Linked DNA regions of Diceros bicornis minor. The protein of the gene in region 2 purifies or fractionates together with the protein of the main gene of each other region. This does not show direct contact. Links are inferred from orthologs where the notes say so. Each region holds a gene or a part of one and is shown on either strand. Other genes may lie near its edges. The genes, in order: DCP1B and USP4.

Region 1 (11,918 bases), on a different chromosome or scaffold from region 2:
ACTCGTGAAACAGGGAGATTTGTCTTCTGCTGTCTCAACTCAGCCTTTTCCCCCATCTTGCTCTCCCTCTTAGTAATCAGGTGCTGATTACTTTGGCTGAGAGGCATGGGCATTAGCTACAGTCAGGTATTTGCATTTTAAGTTTATCATCTCTTCATGTGACATTAAAGGCACCTCCTCATGTCTTGGTGTGTTCTGGGCGTTGGCAAGCAACTGCAAAGATGTTGCTGTAGAGCTCCTTTAGGCCCACTGAGCCTTCACCAGACCCCTGACAATGACAGTAAAATGAACAGATTTTATAGGACTGACAGAAAGAGGCAGAGAGAGATCAAAAGAGAATGTGCATGGATGGTCTCCCATTCCAAAGACCTCTGATTACCCCGGCCCCTGTCCAGGTCAGATGAGCAGAGGATTAGTCGAGGCAGCTGCTGGGCCCAGATGGGAGAAGTCCTGACCCTTTTTATGAGCTCTAGCCAAGGCCCCCTAATAGGCCTCTTCTTTCCCACATCTGTCCCTTCTCTTTCTGCTCCAAGTCTGTCTGATGAGTGTTTCAAATCTTAACCCCTTTGCAATCTCATGGAACACAGAGCTATATCTCCTACATTATTTCTTCCTCTCTCGTTGAAGTTTCTGATAAATATGTTTTAGCTCATATTCTCTATCGTATAAGAATATTGGGAATGAACTGCCTTGGGAATTAATGTGTTCCTTGTCACTTACGCAGAACTCTGTTGAGATGATTTGAGCATTGGCTAGGTAATTGGACAAGAAGGATCCCCTCTGAGCTTCCATTAGAAATAATAATAATGATGATGATGATTATAATAATAATAATAGCTTTTTTCATTTGCAGAACATTTTACAGATTGCAAATCTTTTTCAGGTACGTTTTCTCACTTGATCTTATTTACCCCGTGAAATTGGTAGGGCAGATATTATGATCCCCAAGTTATGAGTGAGGTCACTCGTTGAATGTCACATAGATAAAAAGAGGGTTAAACTAGTTTCCCCTTCCAGGGGGTGCCCTTTCCACTGTGCTCTGCTGCTTAAAAAAGAAATGAACCATGCATTGAAAACAACTGATAACACACGGCTTCAAACTGTTTTCCTTCACTGGGAGAAAGAGGGCATTAATTTTTCACTTCTGTCATTCTTTAGCGTAAAATTCCTAGGAAAAAAGGGCAATTCATACAGGCAGCACAAGCAGAGCATCAGAGGCTGTTTAGGACATTTTAGGATCACAAACTATCAGGGGGCATCCTGGAAGCTCCTCTTTCCCCTCCATTCCAACACAGCCTACTCCAGCACAAGTGCAAAATTTAAAGCTTATTTACACGGTCAAGACAAGACCACTAATAAAGCAGACTGTGTATTTATGTTTCTGGATTATTATGCTATAAAAAGTCACTTTATATTTGTATACACGTGGCTACAAAACCACACATTTTTCAGTTATATCCCTATTTTCAAAAAATTTAAACATCCTATGTTCTTACAATTACCTTGATTAGATTAGGTGGTGCATTTTACCTTAGCCATTGCAATGGTATAAAAATCCCAGATCCAGACACTATTTTTTTTATCATACTACAAATTTGTTTTAAATTGTGGTATATACCTTTATAATAACAAGTGTTAGCACATATTTAATCTCATAATGACAATTATAAAATAATCATGAAACCCGAAGTCACCAATATTTGAGGCTTCTGAAAGCACAGTGGAAGTATGCCAGCACTGTGGAAGCCAATGGAAGTTGAAGTTATATGGCTTAAAAACGAATCTGCCTATTTTAAATGATCTTTTAGATATATAGAGCCTGCAACTTAGTATACTTGGGTAAGGGATGATGACCTGGCTCTGCAAACACAGATTATTCAAGTAAAAAGTAGGCAGAAGTCTGGCTTCATCCTAGAAGGACAGAACTTTAAAAATTTGGGAAAACAGAGCTAAAAAAAGAAAACTCTGTGAACCAGGGAGATGAACAACCTGGCAATTCTGAAGTCACTGCAACATTGTGTCTCTTTTTTTCTGAGCAGGATTTCTCACCTTCAAGGTTTTTTCCCTTTTCTTTCTTTCTTTTTTTTTTTTCTCTACAATGTGTAAAGTTAAAAAAAACCCTTTCCATTTTTTCCTATCTTCCTTAGACTGCAAACTCTGAAAAATCAGGACTTGCAATTGTATGCTCTTTTATCTTGACTTGGATTTTAGTATTCTCTGAATCATGAACTCAAAAAAAAGACATTTAACGAATAAATTTAACTCAGCGTTTAGTCCAATAGAATAAGCATTTACTACTAAAGCTCTACTGAGCACAAGGCATTGAAGTGCTAGGGAGACAAGTGGGGTGAAAAGCAAGTATATAAAAAAATAAAACATTATGAAACTTACTATTTCTCTCTTTTTGCTTATCTGTCAAGAAACTCAAAGCTAACTTTGTTGTCAATTGCAATAACTGTTCTCAGCCTAGATTTTCTCTTCTAATTACAGCGACTCATTTTTTGTCCTTTTTAGAAGTGGGAAAAATATATATAACAAACTAAATAATTAAATAAATGGCTATAATTTGAGTTAAAGTATGACAGGAAAAACAGCAAGGGGGCACTGAGAGGTCATGGGAAGGAAGGATTGTATGGAGAGGGAGGCAGGAGGTGAGTTTTCTGGGAAAAGGACATTCCAGGCTCAGGGGACAAATGGGCAAGGAACAGAGATGGGAATGTGTAAGATATTGGGAAGAAAACAGTTCAGATACAGGAAGGTAGAAACAGGACATGGGTCATTTTCTTCATTAGTTCCTAAAAACAAACAAACCCTTCTTTACTAAGAATCATATTGGTGTGTTCACATATGTGAATCTAGCAATAAGCAGGATAATAGTATGTTCATCTTATCATGCATGAGATCAGGGACTGGGGATGACATGATCCTGTAATCTCAGCACAGACATGACAAGCAACAATAAATGGTGAAGAATGAATGAATGAAGTTCATCCAGTGGCCTGTCAAGAAATGCTTTATGATTGTGGTCATATAGATCACTCAGGGTAGAGGGCATTTTTGCTCTATGAATATTTAAGATACAATAATGGCCCCTGTATTGCCTGTTTTCTCTATTGAGCTTAAAGCAATTTGGGGGCCAGGATTTATTCTTTACACCTTAAAGATGGAAAGATTAAAAATTAAGAGGAAAATGATCTTGTATAAGGCTCACGGAACTTAAGGGCAGAGCTGGGGAAAAGAAAAGAAATGTCTCATTCTATGTGCAAGGCAAATGCAAAGTAGAATCTGTGGGTTCATGCCGAATAATCAAAATTAGCAGAGCTAATCAAGTGAGCGAGTCAGACTCATTGTAAAGGAAAAACCTACAGTTTTTCCACCTGTGTAGGGAAAAACTCAGTTCTTCCCTATTATGAGTTTCTTCCCTGTGTGTCTCCTTTGCTATTCACACAGAACACTTCACTTCTGACACTTCTGGTCACCAAATGTCTGGAAGTTTTTCCCCACAACAAGCAATTCTCTGTGACACCAGCTGGGTGTCCTACAACTTAACTCAATTCTGATACTACCTACAGGAGACAGCATCAGATCCCACAGGTTAAGGGCTCAGTCCCACAGACTGCCTGCCCACCCCACCCCCCAACCCCCTTCAGACACCAGTCACAAGCCCAGGTTATCACCTGTGCTTCTGACTAACAGGCTACAGATCAGAGGTTGCAAAGACCCTCTCCTTGGGTTCCATTAATTTGCTAGAGCAGCTCATGGAACTCAGGGAAACACTTACACTTACTAGTTTATTAAAGGATATGATAAAGGATACAAATGAGCAGCCAAATGAAGAGATACATAGGGTGAGGTCTGGGAGCCTCCTGAGGACAGGAGCTTCTGTCCTTATGGAGTTTGGGGGCACCACCCTCTTGGTATGTGTATGTGTTCACCCACCTGGAAGCTCCCCAAACCCCCTACTATTGGGATTTTATGAAGGCTTCCTTACACAGACATGATCAATTATTAACTCAATTTCCAGCCCTTCTCCCCTCTCTGGAGGATGGGGGGATGGAACTGAAAATCCCAAGCTTCTAATCGTGGCTTGCTCTTTTGTTGACCAGCCCCCATCCAGTAGCCCACCCAGAGTTACCTCATTAGAACAAAAGACGCTCCTAGTGCTCTTATCATTAAGGAATTTACAAGGGTTTTAGGAGCCCTGTGTCAGAGATCAGGTCAGAGACAAATATTAGAACAAGAGATGCTCCTAGTGTTCCTATCACTTAGGAAATTACAAGGGGTTTAGGAGCTTTGTGCCAGGAACCAGGGACACAGACCAATACATACATATATATATGTGTGTGTATACATATATATATACACATTTCTATTATCTCACACTAGTTCATCACAAAATTCTCCTCGCCCATATGATAGATTAAGCTTGTTTTTAGTAGTATGTAATCAAGAGGAAAGAGAGTGCAGTAATACTAGAAACAAGCTAGTGAACTAACATGCAAATTTGTCTAGTCAGCTTTGTATGGTTGCTCAGTTGCTGTAGTCCTATGATTTTCAAACTGCAGGTCATAATCTATTAGATGGTCATGAAATCAATTAAGAAGTCACAATCAGTATTTTTTAAATGATATGTATGTATATACATATGTAAATATATGTGTATCTATCTATATCACTTAATATTGTTGTTTCATGAAACTTTTGTTTTAGTTAATATCAGATATGGATATATAATGTATGCTCTGGGCCAGACTGCAAGTGAGCTGCAGCCCCAATCTAAAAAAGTCGGAAAGCCATTGCTGTACTTTCCCCCACTGGGAAGTTAGGCTTGGCGTCATTGGGACTGAAGATCCAAAATGGAGCTGAACCAAGCATTTAAAAAAATTAAAGCTATCTGCAAAGATTATATTGCAATTTATTTAGGCAACTGCTTTGAGAGGCTACCTGTGCCATATCTATGATATTTCTATATCAAATATGGTAAGAGTTCATGAACGTGGGTATTTCTGCACAATTGTTCTAATATTCAATACAAAATAAATGATTTGGGTCAATGGTTCTCAACTTCTTAGTCTCAAGACCCCTTTACACTATTAAAGATTATTGAGGACTCCCTCAAAGAGCTTTTGTTTATGTGAGTTATATTTATCAATATTTACCATATTGCAAATTAAAACTGATAACTTGAAAGAATATTCATTCATTTAAAAAAACAATAATAAAGCAATTAAATGTAAATATAAATAACATTTTTATGTAAAATAATATTTTCTCCAAAACAAAAAAATTAGTGAGAAATTGGCATTAGTTTACATTTTTACAAATCACTTTAGTATCTGGCTTAATAGAAGACAACTAGATTCTCACAACTGTGTCTACTATAATCTATTGCTATATTTGTTTTGTTTGAAGTATATGAAGAAACTCTGGCCTCAACAGGTATGTAGTTGGAAAAGGGATGGGTATTTTAATAGTCTTTTCAGATAGTTGTGGATAGTCTTCTTTGATAATACATCAAAACCTGATAAGTTGTAGTTTCTCAAAGGTTAGTTGCAATGTGCTATCTGAAACCCTATCCATTAACTTTTCACACTCTGCTACCTTAAAATCCATTAGTCCTTGAATGAATCTTTGCCCATGCATGATTATGTAACATCAGACATTGGTCATTTGGAAAATATTGGGTCACTGAGTTAAGCAGATCTTTCAAATGTTGATACTTTTCATTATACAATTATTTTTTTAAATCACACTCATTAATATTACAACTGATCTCATCAGAAACGACTTTAAGTATTGAGAAGTTGTCAAGCTCATGGCAGTGGATATGTGTTTTCTAAACTTCTAATTCTCGCTTGAAATCTCAAAAAATTATCATTGGCAACAATAACTGTCCCTTGTTTTCTTGGAAGTAACCAGTACACGTTATTTTTGAAAAAATGTCTGTCAAACACCTGTCTAAATAACCATAGTGCGTCCATCTTCTTTCAAGGAAAAATAGTGTTCTGTGAATACAAAAATAAAAATACTAGTTCAGCTTGCAACTCAAGCACGAAAGGGTTTTCCTGGAGACAAATACGCCATTTAGGTATTCAGCACACATGTTTTATGCATACTTCCTGTTTTTTCACACAGAATTTTAAAAGTGTGCCAAAGTGTTGAACTTTAATAAAATTAATAATTTTTACTGCTTAAGTTACACTGGCCTCTGCCTTGATTCATGCTAAGACACCTGCGCTTTTATCCCACCATTGTTTTTGCATTATTGGTCCAAATGTCGACACAGCGAAAGAGTCAAATAAGTCTTAGTGTTGTCATGAAAATGGTTTTGAACTGGCAGACCCCCTGAAAGGGTCTCATGAACTCCCAGGGGTTTCGAGGACCACACTTTAAGAACCACTGGGTGTTAGCGCACACAGAAATCACAGTTCTCTCTCTTCAGTTATTAATGCTTGAGGCTTATTTATTATTATGGGTTTGATCACCGAGCGCCAAAGGAAAGACATACCAAGGCGTAGAACACATCCAAGAGATACATCTTGAGCTGCCACGAGCGTGCAGCTCAAAGGCTCACGTAGGAAGAACACAGCTCTTGGTAGGAAAAGAGAGGCCCACCTCCAGCCTCGGCTTTTGGTTGCCAGTGGCAACGATCGTGGGCGGGAGGGAGCGCGGCCATCGATTAGTACTGTCTTGCGTCCGTCGCGGCAGGAGAGGGCGGGGCACGGCTGCAGGAGGGAGCCGTCCCCGGGCTGTGGTCGCCGCGTGTTTTCGGTGGCGAGGCGGCTCGCTCGTTCTGCGCTCAATTGAGAGTGGCTTCCGAGCGCCCTGTGTTGCTGTCGGGGAGGGAGGGAAGATGGCGGCTGTGGCGGCGGGCGGCCTGGTGGGGAAGGGGCGCGACATCAGCTTGGCGGCCCTGCAGCGCCACGACCCCTATATCAACCGCATCGTGGACGTGGCCAGCCAGGTGGCTCTGTACACTTTCGGCCATCGGGCCAACGAGTGGGTGCGTGCGGACGCGACGGGGCCGCGCAGGCAGGGCCGGGCTGGGGACGGGGTCGTCCGACGCGGGGCTGGAGGCCCCGGTGAGGGAGGAGACGCCGACGACCTGGAGGTGGACGGAGGTGGACGGTGTGGCTCGCTGGCCTGAGGCCGAAGTTGCGGAAGCTGGTCCCCGGGGCCCCGAGGTTTGGGGGAGAGGGTGGCCGATGTGTGAAACCACCTGAAGTTGGGGACAGACTTAATTAAATATTTAAGACACCCCGCGTTGGGAGAGCAGACCGGTCGGGGCCGGGACCCTGAGAGCTGAAGGAGAGAGAGGACCCGATGCCGGGAGGCCGGAAGACTGCTGTGCTCCGAGGAAATAAAGCAGGGTTCTGCTGTAGAGAAACGGGGCTGTAGAGGAGGCGGGATGCGGGACGGCCCAAAGGAAAGTTAGTTCTGGTTCTGGAACATCAGTCTTAGATGGGACCTTAGAAGGAACTGACGCTCTTGGAAAGATTATAACACCGCAGCCCACCGAGACCAAAATAAGTTTGATATTTGAGAGCCAAGTTATTTTGGTGCTCTTCTTAAAGCAGAACGTCAATAAATAGCAATGGAATGAAATTGTTTTCCTCACAATTAGAATCGAGTAGGAGCGTAAGACACCTGACTCCTGTTGCAGGAATTACCACATGCGATTTTGTAACCCACCCACTTGAATGTAGAGATGTAGTTTTTTCTCTTTTCCTCATAGTGACTTTTACCCCAGATAATATTAATTCGTCTGTTATATAACCATCCATCCATCATCTTTAAATAAGTTACAAAACAGTATAAAGAACTGGGCATGGATGAATGGATTTCAGAATTTTTTAATGTGTTCTCCAAGACAGTAAGAAACATCAAAATTGAAGCAAGCAAAACATCCATATTGAACAAATTCATATATTTTTTAACACCTCCATTCATCTATATGGCGTACTTATCTTTTGTATAGATCTTCAGCAGTCTAATAAAAATTCACCTGAAAATCTTTAACAAAAAAAGATAAAGAAGTAGGTTCTAAAATAACAGAGAACAGAACATTTTTGCTCTAAGTTCTTAACTGAGGAAATTTACTGAAAAGGGACAAGGAATTTAGGTCTGCTCTCCTTGTAGCCAAGCAAAAAGGGAAAAGAGGGAGAGCTCTTTAATATTCATTGTTCTCTAACAGGAAGTATACCTCTTGATCAGGAAAGAGAGTATTTACCCCTAGTTTTCAGAGGAATTTGTCACCTTGGTCTTTATATGAACGACATTGAGCAATGTAGTGGACAATTTCTTCAATAGCAATTTAGGAAAAATACAAAGATATTCTACATGTAGCTATTATATTGCTCTATAGAACAATGCCCAAGGCATAGTGTTATAATTTTGTCAAGGTAATTCTGTACTAAATAAGGATCAGGAATGTGTAGTTCTGTAAACTGACTTGACACTAGGGTTAGAGTCTGGAGAATCCTGAGAAATTGTTAACATGTAGAGGAGAGCATTCCTCTTGAATAACAGTTGTTTCCTGTAGGCTTTTGACAGGATCTATCTGATAGATACCTGTTGAAATAGTTACAGAGGTTTATTAGATACCCAGTGAAGCCCTTCTCCTAAGCCTCATCATTTACAGGAGTTATGTTTTCCTGCTTCCTGGACTTGTTGCCTTCACATGGCATAATTCATGCAGTAAAAGGTCATTCTTTCAAAGTACTAATCTTCAAGGCTGTGGTAACCAGAAAAGAGAGAGAGACCTAGTTCAGCTGCAGAGTGGTTGCTGGGGGTAAACAGATTGTCACCACCGATTCCACATGCCATCACTCAGGGCCTCTGGAGAAGAGCCTTTTGAACGTAAACCTAATAAAAGTGTGAAGAACATTCTTGAGAATGAAAGAGAAAGTATTTGCAAGAAGGCAGATGGAATGTAAAGGAGGGGAATTCTTATTGCACTAAAAATAGATGAAGAATGACTTCAGGCATTCAGAGCAGGAGAAATTAGGAATGAAGGGTGGACAGAAAATGAGCTGCTTTAAGGAAGAATTAAGGACAATTATGTCACGACTGGAATAGGAATTTTAGAGCTAGACCTATTTCCCATTGCCAGGAAAGACCACTCTGCCAAAATACTTATGTGTCAATTAAAGAATATAACCCTGGTGGTATTTTCACCGCTCAGTCCTTAGAGCCGTGGTTCTTAACTGGAGTTGATTTTTCCTCCAGGCAACATGTGGCAGTATCTGGAGAAAGTTTTTGGTTGTCGCACTGAGAGGGAGCATGTTACTGGCACCTAGATGGTCGAGGCCAGGGATGCTGAATGTCCTACAATGTACAGGTCAGGCCTCTACGACAAAGATTTACCTAGCTCCAAATGTCAAAAATGCTGAGCTTGAGAAACCCTGCCGTAGAGTGACTAGTGTCCTGTTGTTTCTAGCTAGTAGTTTTCTAAGTTTTCTGTGTATCAGAATCACTTGGGGTTTTAAAAAGTGCAACCCACCAAATCAAAATCTCTGGATATGAGGTCCAGGCACGTGATGCTTGTTGAAAGCTTCCTGGGTGACTCACATGCTACATACATGACCGACAGAGACAGATTTTAAAAGGGTAAATGGAGACCTACTTTTCCATTATATTAACATAGAATAATCAGTAAGATATAAATTGCTTTGAGTTGTTTCAAGTGTCAGATTGTGTGCTGAGTCCCCATAATTTGCAAACTAGCGCTATTTTATATTCCACTTTATTTTAAATTTTGAACTAGTTAATTTTTTAGCACTTGTTCTATTTTATAATAGAGTATAATATTAAATCATTAAATTATACCTTTAAAATCTAAGCTAAAATCCCCCAGAACTGAGAACTAATCCTTTAACATAAAAGTCATTACTTGGAGGACCTAATAAAATCTTATTTAGCTAATTCCCACATCCCGAACCCTGGGCTTTGCCCAGAAATTAAAAATCTGGTTACCCTTGGATAACTGTGGAGGGACCAGGAAAATGCATGAATTTGAGCTGTTTCAGCCATAATAGACCAGAAATGTATGTTTCCAAAGTCCCTTTTATCCAGGTGTTGTAGAGAAAAATGTTTTTCATCAAAAGATCTGAGTGGTGTAGGCTGGTTATCTCTTTTCAGTGGAGAAAGTGAGACGTAGAATAATAAACTAGCCCAGTATGAGCTGGCAAGAACCCCACTTCAGGTCCAATACTGTAATCACTGAAACACAATTCCTTTCCATGAACAAACTCATGCTTTTTGTGTGTAATACTATATAAAAATCTCAGTTTTAAGAATTGATATGTGAGTTAAAGAATACTTAGGAAAGCATGCCTTTTACATTTCTGATTCTGGATTTTTCAAAACTAAAATGTGGCAGTCCTTTCTTTTTTTCTTAAAGGTGATTTCTATTACTACTTCATCAAGGAAGAAAGGAAACAAGTCAAAAACTGTTAGTTCTATGTGTGCTGATAGAAGTAAACATCCTGATTTGAATCTTTAAGGTGAAATAGTCCAAGTTTCAAATGCTGGAAGACAGAAAGGTGTTTTGGCTTTGTAGCAGGTGATCCTGACAGTGCATATAGGTGCTAAGACCTGGTTCCATCACCTGTATCTTGGCTTCAGTTTCCTATCAGTGTAATAGATAATACCAAATATTTAATTTTTACAAATTTGTTCTTAAAAGCTTTGTGGACTAGTATACACTTGCCCACTGTACCAGTTAGACTTAAGGGATGCCCACAAATTCTTAGACTGTTTGGGTAGCATTTATTGTACTGTAGTGGCCGTTTTCTCAATGATTGAGATTGTGGTGGTTTAAGTAATTCTTAGTGTTTAAAGTGCACCCAGGATATAGATTTCTCAACAGATAGGAATTGACTGTGTTTGTTTGCAAAGAAAGATAAGTAATAATGTTTCTGTATAGTTTTTTCATTTTGATTCAGGGTATTTTTCAAAGCACAGTGGCAAATGGGCCACATTTGAGAAATAAGGATAGTTTTCATAGTACATTGAAATGATTTATACAGACTTCGTAGTAAATCCAGTTTAAGGATGAACTCTAACTTTCTTAGCAATGTTTGTATATTAGAGAAAAGACTGGCTACAATTGTTTTAACTGTTGTAAATTCTTTATTTCTAATTACATATTCTATAATAATGAGGATTAAAAATCTTGGTACTAAGTAACTTACTCTTAATAGCTATTTGCTCTTAAAAAACAATGTTTGGGGGCTGGCCCCGTGGCTTAGCGGTTAAGTGCGCGCGCTCCGCTACTGCCGGCCCGGGTTTGGATCCCGGGCGTGTACCGACGCACCGCTTCTCCAGCCATGCTGAGGCTGCGTCCCAACACATACGGCAACTAGAAGGATGTGCAACTATGACATACATACAACTACCTACGGGGGCTTTGGGGGGAAAAGAAAGGAGGAGGATTGGCAATAGATGTTAACTCAGAGCCGGTCCTCCTCAGCAAAAAAGAGGAGGATTAGCACGGATGTTAGCTCAGGGCTGATCTTCCTCACAAAAAAAAAAAAAAAAAAAAACAATGTTTGGTGATGTTTAATATAATTTGGGGCTTAGTGGATTTTCTGTCCACGACTCCTAATATAGTTCTATGGGCAGAGAATATGTTATTGAACCAGGGCAGTGGTTTTCACACAGCATACATCAGAATCAGCTGGATGGCTTAATAAAAAAAGGTCACTCCCCCTCCGCCCCCCCGAGTTTCTGATTCAGTAGGTCTGGGAAGGGGCCCAAGAATGTACATTTCTAACAAGTTTTCAGGTGCTGCTGATGCTACTGATGTAGGGACCACACTTTGAGATCCACTAAACTAAGGTGACCAGGAAAGCTGCTGCAATTACTTGAGCATGTGAAAGAATCATGCTTCCAATTTTTTGTGAGCCTTTTAAAAA
Region 2 (12,754 bases):
TGATTTACAAATTAAAACTCATAAAAGTTATTCACTTATTGTCTTACTTGGGAAGAAACACCTTCTTCATTTCTAACACTAAGCACTATGCAGATCTAGCCACCCGTACTGTGCCAAACAGCAACCAGAAACCTTCAAATGTGGGAAAGAAACAAACAGCTTTCAGCATACTCAACTCCAAGAACATCAGTTCTACAGGCGTCTTCCCCCTCCGAGGCTCAGTGACAATTTTCCCCAACATGTCATTCTTATGACACTATAGTGCAAATGCAGGAAACTTAACTAGAATTTTCAATGCAGTTCACTATTTTCACTTAAAACTGGACAGTCCAAGAGCATCATGCTAAACATCACACAAGGGTTTTGAAAATTTCTTCAACAGAGAGGCAAATAAAGGGAGAAAAGGAGTGCACAGCTTGGTCTAAGCGTAGGGATTCCATGTGATATAGAGTAGGGACAGAGGTGTAAATGAGAGAAGGGGTGCTCTACAGACAACATCAGCAAGGATACGCTCTAACTTCTCCTTCCCACACTTTTTTTTTCTCCCCCCCAAAGCCCCAGTAGATAGTTGTATGTCACAGCTGCACATCCTTCTAGTTGCTGTATGTGGGACACGGCCTCAGCATGGCTGGAGAAGCAGTGCGTCGGTGCGCGCCCGGGATCCGAACCCCAGCCGCCAGCAGCAGAGCGTGCACACTTAACCGCTAAGCCACAGGGCCGGCCCTTCTTCCCACACATTCAAGAGCCCCCTCCAGGCCACCCTCATGACCCTAGGTGGAAGGCAGCCAGACTGGGACTGGCAAGTGACTGAGAGCCTGGGAATTAAGGGAGTGACACTCATTCGCCAGAGAGAGGTCATTCCTCTACTGTCAATGTTTCAGGGTCTGAACGGAATGTACTTCTCACTTCCCAAGCACACAGCAAATGTTTCAAGACAAAGCCAGGTGACATCAAATTGGGGGACTAGTGAAGGAATGCTTGCCCTTAGCTGAAGGTCATGCAAAATTACTGCAGAGGGCCCCTCCAGCTCTAGGATTCTCATCACTATTACTATTAAAAATCAAGAATTCTCCTTTGCAGCAAAAAAAAAAAGGGAAAAGGACAAAGCACAAACATAATGCAACGATCCCTTGGGACAACTCCATGGTGTAATGCCATCATCTGACCTACATCAATAAACAAAGCATATGACATTGTTTATTGCGTCATTTAAAAGATCTCCCCTAAAACAAGGTCTGAGCTGAAGTGTTGCTCATTTTCAAAAACACCCAGGTTCGGGTCGGCCCCGGGGCTTAGCGGTTAAGTGCGCACGCTCCGCTGCTGGAGGCCTGGGTTTGGATCCCGGGCACGCACCGACGCACCGCTTCTCCAGCCATGCTGAGGCTGCATCCCACATACAGCAACTAGAAGGATGTGCAGCTATGACATACAACTATCTACTGGGGCTTTGGGGGAAAAAATAAATAAATAAAATTAAAAAAAAAAACCCAAAAAACAAAAAAACACCCAGGTTAGTGTTAGGTACTTGGATCAAGTCTCACGCATTGTCTGCCTTCCTGCTGCCCTGATTTTGGGCACAGGCAACAGATCACCTCTGTCCTGCTTACGAGGGAGTCTAAAGACAGGCAGAATAAAGCCTAGGAAAGGCTCATCATCATCTCTGCATTTACAGGGGCAAGTCAAACTCAGGTGCGTCATACGAGTTTTTCAATCACTTCCTCCATTGGGAGCTGACTATAATCATAGCTCTACTGACCTTCCACCTCTCCTCACACTACTTCTATAACAAACATAGCCATCACAGGAACGCTTGATGAATGTCGACAGGTCTACAATTTGTTACACTGCAAAGGTAACACAGAAAATTCTGGTTCCCAACTTTCAGATTCCAGATGCAATTTCAAAATGATATCCTATTTCTTTTCATTCCACAGACTAATCTAAAATCTGAAATCTCTAGCAGAATTAATTTGCAAAAAAAAGAGAGAGAGAGAGAGATTTAAAATGCTAGAAGCATGCTCTTGTTAGAAGCCTTTAATTTAGGAAAAAATTAACTTCTCCCTGAGGGTCTGCAAAGACTTCTGCTATAGACACAAATCGAGGACACTTGTTTCTATCCCCTCACAGTTGGAAAGTCAGGTTCACAATGTCCATGTTACAGATAAACACAACCACAGGTCATTGCCCAGGTGGACATTTCAGTTAGAAAAGCAATAGGATACCACACCTGAAAAGAGTCCGGAGTTATCTATTGGGCCAGGAAACAAGTTGTGTTCACCCACATTGTACATATCCCAGCTGTCAAAGCCCACGTACTTCTTCCACTGCTTGAACCACCGGCTGTCAACAAGATACCTAGAGACAGACAAAAATTTACTATTCCAGAAAAGCTGAGGTTGTAAGTTTCTGCAGCTGCTCCCTTAATATTTTTATGGTCTTTTCACTTGGGGAACAAGCAATACCTACTGAAAGACACACTCGGCAAAGCAGGAGCAGGGCCAGGAACCACATGGCACAGAGAGCCATGATCCAGGGCAGGCATCCATTAAATGAAACGATTGTTGAAAGAATGAATAAATGAAAGGAAGGCAATGACTGGCTTCAAAATGCTTATTTAAAGGAAGTCTTTCTATAGGTAAAATCTTGTTTGCTAATGACCAAGTCATTAATTTCATTTTTTTTAATTTTGTTTTTTTTATGGCAGTAACATTGGTTTATAACATTGTCAAGTCGTTAATTTCCTAATGATCTTTACAGAGGTCCTTGTCCAGGTAGACAGTTTGATTACACTGCTCTGCCTGATGTGAACAGCATTAAACTAATTTTATTTCTGAAAATGGGATAACAACATCCCACACTTCAGTTTTCCTTTGAGGACCAAACAAGATAAAAAATGTGTGTGAGTATATGTATGTAAATATATGTACATATATACATACACACACATATACGTGCATATACACACACACACACACATATATATACACAATATTGTCTAGGTATGTCTATCTTGTCAAAAAGCATCAAGTTGATCTGGTTATATTTTAAAAGTATCACTATGCTGTTTTACAATTAAGATAGAAGAAGGGAAACCTTGGCTGGCCCCGTGGTTTAGCGGTTAAGTGCACGCGCTCCGCTGCTCACGGCCCGGGTTCGGATCCCGGGCGAGCACCGACGCACCACTTCTCCGGCCATGCTGAGGCCTCGTCCCACATACAGCAACTAGAAGGATGTGCAGCTATGACATACAACTATCTACTGGGGCTTTGGGGGGAATAAATAAATAAATAAATAAATAAATCTTTAAAAGAAGAAGGGAAAACTCTGTGGGGGAACAAAGGACAACAACTATATTGGTGAGTCTTTCAAATTTTATAACCAACAAACTTCAGAGGATATCAGGCAGCTTCCCAAAGGCCACAAGGATTCATAAACACATCCAAATCTTTAGAATGCTCTTTTCCCTCCAAACCCCTTGAACAATACACTCCAAACACTTTTGGTGTGTGATTTTAGTCTATTCCAAACTTCCTCTGCTTCTGCTGAGTATCCTTCATACATCACTCCTATGCAGGATAACTTCTAAAAGCACCTCTGATTGCCCTGCCTTTCACGGTTCGGCTAGCTCAAGAACACTGTAAAGCTCTATTCGAATTTCTCCTGATCTCAATGTTTCTCTTCCCTGCTCAATGTATCTCAACTCTTAACCCCAATGTCTCTCTTCACTGCTCAATTCCTCTGTCATTATAAGAGCCATGACCAACACCACCACAGTTTCTTAAAGAGGGATGCTCAATCACATTCAATGCAAAGCCAACCCCCAGTTTTCTACTCCCACACAATAATACCAGGAATCTCTTCACTACTGGAAATACTGTCCTTTCTACTAAACAATTTATTAAGAAACCTGGTCTCCGACTTGCTCTTCTAAACCCTAAATTTTTAATCTTTTTTATCTAGGCTGTAGGCTACCTTACTTTCCCACTTCGAAATGCTGCTGCCACAATTATTTTTGACATTTGCTACCAAATAACCTGGGGCTCTCAGACATTTGTTCAGCTTCTGACCTTGACATCTATTCGGCAGTTTATAAGTTACAAAGTATGTACTTCTGATCTTCGCCTCAACCCACTGAGGGCGGAGGGCCAAATATTGCTACCCTGGTTTTAACAGTAAGGAACGGGGATCTATGAGGTGTTGATGCCTTTGCCCAAGGTCACGCGGCAAGTCCTGGTAGGTAAAAGGCTCTTCCTATCCTGCAAGTCCCCGTGAGCACTCCCCTTCTGTTCAACCTGCAGCCCTTGCCCCCGCTGGGTCCGCGCCCTGGGGCTCGGTATGGGCCGGGACGACCCTCAGCTCCGCCCACGCTTTCCCAGAGGTGACCCCGGGGTCCTTCTCCTGAGAGGCGGGGGTCACGTCACTCTCTCAGGGTCACTAACATCGCCTCCAGCCGGCCCCTACCCAAGCCGAGAAAGAGGGGCTTAGCCTGAGCGCCAGAGCCCCGGTCCCTGGCCCTGGCCGGGCGAAAGGGGGGCCTGGCACTCACCACTGCGCCCCTCGTTGGAGAGTGGTCCTCATCAAGGCCCCGAGCTCGGATTTCTGGGTCTCCGCATCCGGTCGCTCACCGCAGCCTCCGCCTTCCGCCATCTCGTCCGCTGCCCCGGCCCAGCCGGCCCGGACATCCGCCTAGCGCACGGCGTGCTGTGGGCCGCTCCCACCTACGCACGCACGCAAGCGCGTGCGCGCGCCAAAGGGCACCCCGCTCCGCGGCCTTGAGCGCTTGCTTGGCTTTGCCTTTTCTTGCCGCCGTTTGCGCGCCGCGCCTATTCTGCCGGTACGTGGTGGAGCAGGGAGGGAACCGGAAGAGGAGGCGGGCGCCGGGGAAGAAGCCGCCGCTTCCTTCCGTTCTGCAGGCCTCACCTTGGGGCGGGAGTGTGGTGCCCCTCGACCCTCGGGTATCCAGTCCTGGCCTGCGGGGTTATTCTGTTCTTAAATAAGCGCAGCAACCGGTGTGAAAAGCCCTGGAACTATATTTTCTTGTAGTCATTCCTGCCATTCCGCTTTCAGCAGAGACCTTAGGCGAGTCCTTAACTGCACAAAAGTAGGATCGAGGTTCCTGTCCTGGAGGCCCTACAGGGATTTCGGGGAGTGCCTGGTGCACCAGCGCCTTGGGACCGGGACTCGACGGTGTGGTCTAGTCGTTAACAATCGTTCCAAACACTCTGGACGCCAGAATCACCTTGCCCACGGCAGAATTCCACAAGCCGTCCACAGTGAGCTAGCTACTTGCCTTGTCAGGGAGACAGGCAGCCGCAGAGGGTCCATAGCAACGGGGGAAGGAGAGGTCCAGGTGTGTTCTCCACATTAGGTGCCCAGGCTGCTTCTTAATTTGTTGCCGCAACAAGGTACAATGTCCTGAACACTGTATGTTTTCTACTTGACCCTGCATATAAAAAACACAGCCCTCCTCCTGGACGGGTAAGTAAGCCCAGAGCAAGGAGGATGCCAAGCAGCTGGTCTACGCCAGTCTCCGTTCACTTGCCTAGCAGTTCCGGCCCTCAGAGAAAAATAAGACCTAATACCTGCACTTATACAGTCTAATAGAGGAGAAGAAATCTTCCGCAAATAACCCCAGTGCCAAGCAGTGTGTGGTAAGTGCCGTTAAGGGATATGAACCCTTGAGGGGCCGGCCCGGTGGCGCAAGCGGTTAAGTGCTGGCTCTCTGCTGCGGTGGCCCGCGGTTTCCCGGTTCGGATCCCGGGCGCGCACCGACGCACCGCTTGGCAAGCCATGCTGTGGCGGTGGTGGCGTCCCCTATAAAGTGGAGGAAGATGAGCAGGGATGTTAGCCCGCACCGACGCACCGCTTGGCAAGCCATGCTGTGGCGGTGGTGGCATCCCCTATAAAGTGGAGGAAGATGAGCAGGGATGTTAGCCCAGGGCCAGTCTTCCTCAGCAAAAAAAGAAGATGATTGGCAGATGTTAGCATAGGTCTGATCTTCCTCACACACACAAAAAAAGGATATGAACCAAAGACTAGGTCCAGAGCTGTGAAATGGAGCCTTTGACTTGAGTAGCATTTGAGTGTGGTCTTGAAGAAAGTGTAGAAATGATGGTGCATGTTACAGGAGGAGAGACTAGAGGGGTCGTCCCCTATAAAGTGGAGGAAGATGAGCAGGGATGTTAGCCCAGGGCCAGTCTTCCTCAGCAAAAAAAGAAGATGATTGGCAGATGTTAGCATAGGTCTGATCTTCCTCACACACACAAAAAAAGGATATGAACCAAAGACTAGGTCCAGAGCTGTGAAAGGGAGCCTTTGACTTGAGTAGCATTTGAGTGTGGTCTTGAAGAAAGTGTAGAAATGATGGTGCATGTTACAGGAGGAGAGACTAGAGGGGTCGGAGACAATTTCTGAAACAGGCGGGGCAGAATCAAAGAGTGAGCATTAGGCCAGTTGAGCTGGGATCAGACTACTGAAAAAGCCTGAGATCTAAAGATAGAAAGGAGGCTGGAGGGGCCACATGTCTTGCCTTAAATGGCCCACAGATATTGTAGGAAATTTTGGAGCAGAGACAAAATGGCTGAGGGTGCTTTACACCCACAGTGGTATAGCCCAGAGACCTATTAGTAGCATTTCACTGGAGAGGTAGCTATGAGGGAGGAGAGAAGAAACAGGAGACCGTGTTCAGTGTTAGGGATGGAGGACGGAGAGCTGGCCTGGTGAAGGTGTGGTAGGTCATTTGAATAGATTTACAATTTTTATGTTGGGTTTTGGCTAATTTCGATTAATTTGCACACCCTGGGACATCCATCACACACCATCTGGTAACAGACACCTGTTGGCAGTTGGGTAGGTAGCAAGGGATAATGAGTTTGGAGTTGAAACTGCCTTGAATGACCATGTAGCAATTAATCCCCTGCAGATAAGTTATAATCATGTGATAATTCTACATCTGGGGAGCCAACCCTGACAAGTGCCCTTCTGTGAAAGCTCTTTGAAATTGTTAAAAATGTTGTCAAATGAGAAACACTACCGTTAGTCCTGTTATTTATGGAAAAAGAAAGTTGGGTTACCGACATTACTTCAGAACCTACATTAGAGGGTATCTGCTTCCCTTTTCTTTTTTTTTTTTTTTTAGCAGTTTCTCCCTACCATTTATGGCATGGGTCAGAGTCTTAAGGAAGTAGAAGTACGACAAGTACTCAGCACCACTAGAAAGAGGGACAAAACCTAATTATAAAAATGAAAAAAAAAGAAAACTTTGGAAAATCTTTTTAAGCCTGGATCTCTTCAGTGCTGTTAAATAGCTATAAAAATAGTGCACCAATTATGAGTAGCTCCTAAAAATTTGTATTAAGATTACAAAGTGCCACTAGTTAAAACGCAAGGAATAAAGTGAAACTTTATAGTCGGAAGATCAGCATTATTTCCAGTTTTAAAACTTTTTTAGTGAGTTTCATTCATTTAGTGAGTTAAAAATTGAGAACTAGAAACAACGAACATCTTTCTGTGTTCCCACTATTATGGGAGTGACCTGCGGATTTGGCAGGAAATGAATTCAATGATTCAGCTCTGGAGACACCCTGGCCCCAGGGCTGTGATCTCTGGCCATTTACCCTAGGAAGAGGTGCAGGCCTAGTAGAGCACTCACTTTGCCCCATCACCAAACCCCAGAACTGAACAACCCACCCGTTGCCATGGGATTTTGGGCCACAAGAACAGGAAAGAACGCAGGAAGGGATATAGAGGGAACAGGCCTGGCTGATTGATCACATACTGCTTGATCTTGGACTGTGATGATCTAATTGAGGGTTTGTAATGTCTGGATCTGTGAACTTCAAGCTTTACTTTGTTCCAAGTTATAAAATTCTTGCCTTGACTGGTACTATGGCTTGCTCTACACCTGACTGGAGTTGGCCCTCCCAAGTCACCCTTGGTCCACATTTGGCCAGCAGAAACAGAGCACATGTGACAGGAGTCACAAATATTGGGCACCTTTTGATTAAAGGTGGCATCAGGAGAGAAATATTTTTGTTTTGTTCTTGCCTGTGCTTCGTTAACCTGCCCAGGAGACTGTGAAAAAGTAAAAAGCTCTAGAAGTACATTTTGAAAGAATTAAACGTCTCATCCGTGACATTATAACCTCTGTTATATAAGGATTAGGTTACTGAGGAAGGTGACAAAGGCAAAAACCTGAACCAATCTCACAGAGTGGAAGTGGAATCAACTTTCCTATGTTGGAAACTCATACCGTTGGACAGATTCCATTCTGGTTATGCCACTGTTGGTGGCCAGCCCTGACTGGGCAGGGAGAGCATGGCACCCTGGGCCCAGGTGTGGCTAGTGTCTTCTCTTCCTCCTCTAATTCTGTTACCATCAATGTCTTAACCATAAACAAGTATTTAGATGTTAATTATGCATGTTCGCCCTTTGCACACAGCAGATTCTCAGTAAGCATTTCTTGGATGAATGAATGAAAGAACTATCCAGATACTAGTCATTTTTTCATTTGACTAATAACCTGTTATATGCTCATAGTCCCTACCCTCCAGGGGTTCACAGCCAATGTGGTTGGGGAAGATGTTTTCACATGTAATTACAGTGTTCTATGTTGTGTGATAAAAGTGCTATAGGAACATGGAAGGTGATGCTGCAGACCTTTGCTGGGAAGGAAACTTAAGCAACTGGTGTAGGGAGCAAAGGCATGCTTTGCTTAACATTCCCTTTGGCTTGCCTCTGGGAATGCATGATGAGTCTGCAAAGGAATGCTCAGGGAACCAGGGCTTCTTTAGATTCACCTACACATACACAGACATAGTCACATGCTAGAGACAGAGGAGGCTGGGTTAACAGGTGTTTCCTTTGCAGGGAGACTCCGATCCCCTCCACTTGCCTCCCTGTGGAGCCAGGTGGTCTGCAAGACTGTAGGACACCACCCACAGTGGTCTGCACATGCCCCTGGATACTGCTCAGACTCTAGGCATTTGGATAAATTGGGCCTGTTTTGTGGTCTCTTGCCCTGGCCTTGCTGGCCACAGCTTACACTAGACCTGGGTGGAGTTTCTGTCTGCAGGATGAATGATGGAAAGGCTGCTGGGCCCCTGCCCAGCACATCACCATCATGTCATGTCAATCTCAATGCTTCTGGATGCAACTAACAGAATACCCACCAGCAAGTGGCCTACCTAGATGGTGATTTTTGTTTTTATTTTCTCACCTGACAAGTCTAGAATTGAGTTCTTGGGTAGGTCAAAGCTGAAGGATATCAGGGCTCAGAGTTTCCTTCTCTGTTACCCCCAGGGCCAGGGCCCGTGAGACTTCTCTCATTTGTGCTCTCAGCTCCTGATCCAGTAGTGCCTGATGCGAGGCATGTGTCCAGTAACTTGTTGACCAGCTCGAGCTGGGCTTTATTTTAATGCCAGCCACATTTATGTTAGTGTGTGAAAGCATGCTCTTCCAGCCTGCTTGGTGATTGTAATAACAAAAACCTGCCAAATTCAGAGTTCTCTGACAGGGATCCCTGCCCATTCTTTTTTTATTATTATTTTATTTTTTTCCCCCAAAGCCCCAGTAGATAGTTGTATGTCATAGCTGCACATCCTTCCAGCTGCTGTATGTGGGACGTGGCCTCAGCATAGCCAGACAAGCAGTGTGTCAGTGCTTGCCCGGGATCTGAACCTGGGTCGCCAGCAGCCTGCCCATTCTTTATAAATCCATGCTGTGTTCTCTTGGGGAAATCTTTAGCCAGTATTTTTTATTCAGTATTATACAAAAGTTAAAACTTATAAGATTTGGGCCGGCCCCGTGGCTTAGCGGTTAAGTGCGCGTGCTCCGCCACTGGCGGCCCGGGTTCGGATCCTGGGCGCGCACCAACACACCGCTTCTCCGGCCATGCTGAGGCCGCGTCCCACATACAGCAACTAGAAGGATGTGCAGCTATGACATACAACTATCTACTGGGGCTTTGAGGGGAAAAATAAATAAAATCTTTAAAAAAAAAACTTATAAGATTTATTAGGGTGATCGGGCCAGGAATGCTTCTCTGAAAATAAAGTTGCTTTAAATGTTGTTTGTGGAACTACATTGAGACAGAATAGGGAAGTCATCTGATAAAGGGCTAATTGCGCAAGAAGAGCCTGACCAAATTTTATCAGATTTTTTTTTCAGCTTTACTGAGGTATAATTGGCAAATAAAATTATAAAATATTTAAAGTGTACATCGTGGTTATTTGATATAGGTATACATAGTTTTATCAGATTTAATGTTTGAAAAAAACAAAAACAAAAGGAAAAAACCAGCATTTCTGGAAGAACTGCTAAAATGGAAGCATCTGGACCTAGCTGAATAACAGTAGGGCCCATCCCTTTCTCAGAAGGCCTGTAGCTGAAATGCTGCTGCCTGCTCCCAGATCAAGCAGTGTCCTGCAGCCACTTCTTCCAAAGGCTAGGGCCTCAGGGAGGCTCACTAGGATTCTTTCACTTTTACTTGTTCATTTGAGCTGCTGATTCACTATGGGGTGGGGTGGGTGCAGGTCAGAGCCAGTAGCAGTTACATGGTTGAATGATAAAGAATGTGTATGTGTGGGAGTGTGTTTCTGTGTGTGTTTGTATGTGTTGGGGGAAGAAACCCAGTTTCTTGGGGAGGAAGATGAAGTGTTAACTGGCTTTATTCTGAGTCTTCCTGAAGAAGAGAGAGTTGGAAAGGACTTTCAGTTAAGGGAGGCAGGCAGCTTGAAGTCTGAGAAGGAGTATTCACCAGCCAGGGTCAGCCACATTGGGAGCTCAGAAGTTCCCTTCCCTGGCAGCCCAAGGCATAAACTAAGAGTGGGTGAGGAGGGCTGAGTCACTAGGCAGCCTGGGGGAAAGAGGTTGGAGTCAGTTTGGAAAGCCCTGGGTTCCTATGCTGGAGTCTAACCAGAGCGTGGCCTGGGCCACACTGACCTTTTACAGGAGAGTTGGAGCAGAAAGTCTCTCTTCATGGTTCAGCTGTAGGTCACTGAGTAGAACTCTAAGTCCCCAGACTTTCCAAATAAGCATCTCTGGAGGTGGGCCGTGGAACATAGGTTTGAACAAGCACCCAGGTGATTCTTGGGCACTATATGTTTAGCTCCTAGAACGGGACCTGGTACATCACTGGCACTTGGCTATCTGGCTTCAGCTCCAGCTGCCCCCCTGAAACTGCACTTGCTGGGGAACACTTAATCCACAAGCACTTGTCCCAGCTAACTATTCTTTATGAATGTCCCTTCCCTCAGCTCCTTGACGCCGTCCTTGTTCCTTCCAACTGTGCCTCTCTGCCACCTGACCCAGAATAATTATGAATCCATAGGCTTCAGGTCTAGGTCCCCTGATCTTTTTCTTGCCACTCTCCCCAGGTGACCTTATTCTCTCCAATGGTTACTTACTGCCCCTTTGGCTAGACCTTTGTCTCCAACCCATACTCTTTTCCTGAGCCTGTTGTAACCACCTGCTCTAGATATCTTCATCTGGATGTCTCATGCACCACATCTGAATCTGAACACATCCCCTTCTCCCCAAATCTGCTCCTGCTTGTGTTGTGCAACTGTCAATGATGCCACCTTCCCACTTCAGGCCCTCACACACTGTAACCTCTGCCTGTCCACCCTCCACCAGTTTGTTCTTGGGTAACTGCTTCTTGACCTCTCTTCAGCTTCACTGTCACTTCCTCCAGGAGGCAAGCATGATCCTCCCTACTGGGCCAGGCCCTCATATATTATCAAAGTACCCTGTACTACCTCATAGAACTAAACAAACATGCTTTTGGTAATTATATATTGTCTTTCTGCCTTCCTGAGGTCTGTATTCCTGGCACGCAGCAGAGCACATGGCACAGGACTGAATGATGAGTGTTCCAGTAAGGGAGCAAAGGGCTTTTAGGGAAGAAATGTAGGCTTTAAGGAGGTTACAGATGGCCTGGGTATACCCAGATATATCCAGATGTATAGGTTGCTATTATTCATTCCAGGAGTCAGATTTGGAGTCTACAAACGATCCTCAAAGAGCCCTGGCTCTGTTTGAGTGGAAAGTTTTTCACTTTATATTAATTGACAGACATTTGCTGATGCATGTCATATGCCAGGCCCTGTGGGCCCTGAGGAGATGGGTAGCCCCAGGCCACCTCCTAGACTCTCCCTCTCTGGGGAAGCAGACCAGTCACTCATAGATGCAATCAAGACTCCTGAGTTCTGAGAGGAGCACAGGTAGGGTGGGTACACAGGGGTCCAAAGGGGAAAAAGACAGCTCTGCCTTGGTCACCTCAGAGGGGACTAAAAAGCTGAGGTGGAGAGGCATTGTAGCCAGAGGGAGGTGAGCCTGTACAGAACTTCTGATGATGGAGAGAGGGAGCCAGAACAGGTGCAGAGGGCCCGTCATCCCTTAATGACCTAAAGGCAGACAGAAGGTGAGGGCGGAAGCAGCAAAGATTCCTGCTTAGAGCTAGAGGAAAAGTTCTTGCGAGCTGGTTAAGACACAGAAGGGACTTGAGCTACCAATTTGAGCATGAATGCTGAGACCCCAGAACCTTTGGCCCACATTCTGCACTGGGTGACAGTGCCAACATGTATCTGGGTTCTTATCTGCCTAAGCAGAAGCTGCATCCAAGCCCTGCAGAGTCCCTTGTACTGTGATAGGAAGGCTCCAGTTCTGTCTCGAAAGATTATTGACAGTAGGGCCAACAGATAGAGAGGTTGCACCTGAGCCACGCCTGAGACGCAGCAGCTGGCCTCCAAGATAT

The links.
Region 1: the proteins of USP4 (region 2) and DCP1B purify together in Homo sapiens (co-immunoprecipitation; 3 studies listed by BioGRID and IntAct, with this or other methods). This does not show direct contact. The link is inferred for Diceros bicornis minor from reciprocal best matches to the Homo sapiens genes USP4 and DCP1B.

Annotation. Positions count from the first base shown.
Region 1 is NC_080756.1:60,623,867-60,635,784, reverse strand, and holds the start of DCP1B (mRNA-decapping enzyme 1B), read left to right. Parts: upstream 1-6,843; 5' UTR 6,844-6,853; coding exon 6,854-7,003; intron 7,004-7,037; exon of another isoform or gene 7,038-9,322; coding exon of another isoform or gene 9,323-9,340; intron 9,341-11,780; exon of another isoform or gene 11,781-11,902; intron 11,903-11,918. UniProt on the Homo sapiens protein: May play a role in the degradation of mRNAs, both in normal mRNA turnover and in nonsense-mediated mRNA decay. May remove the 7-methyl guanine cap structure from mRNA molecules, yielding a 5'-phosphorylated mRNA fragment and 7m-GDP.
Region 2 is NC_080741.1:50,517,734-50,530,487, forward strand, and holds the start of USP4 (ubiquitin carboxyl-terminal hydrolase 4), read right to left. Parts: upstream 4,810-12,754; 5' UTR 4,648-4,809; coding exon 4,547-4,647; intron 2,356-4,546; coding exon 2,228-2,355; intron 1-2,227.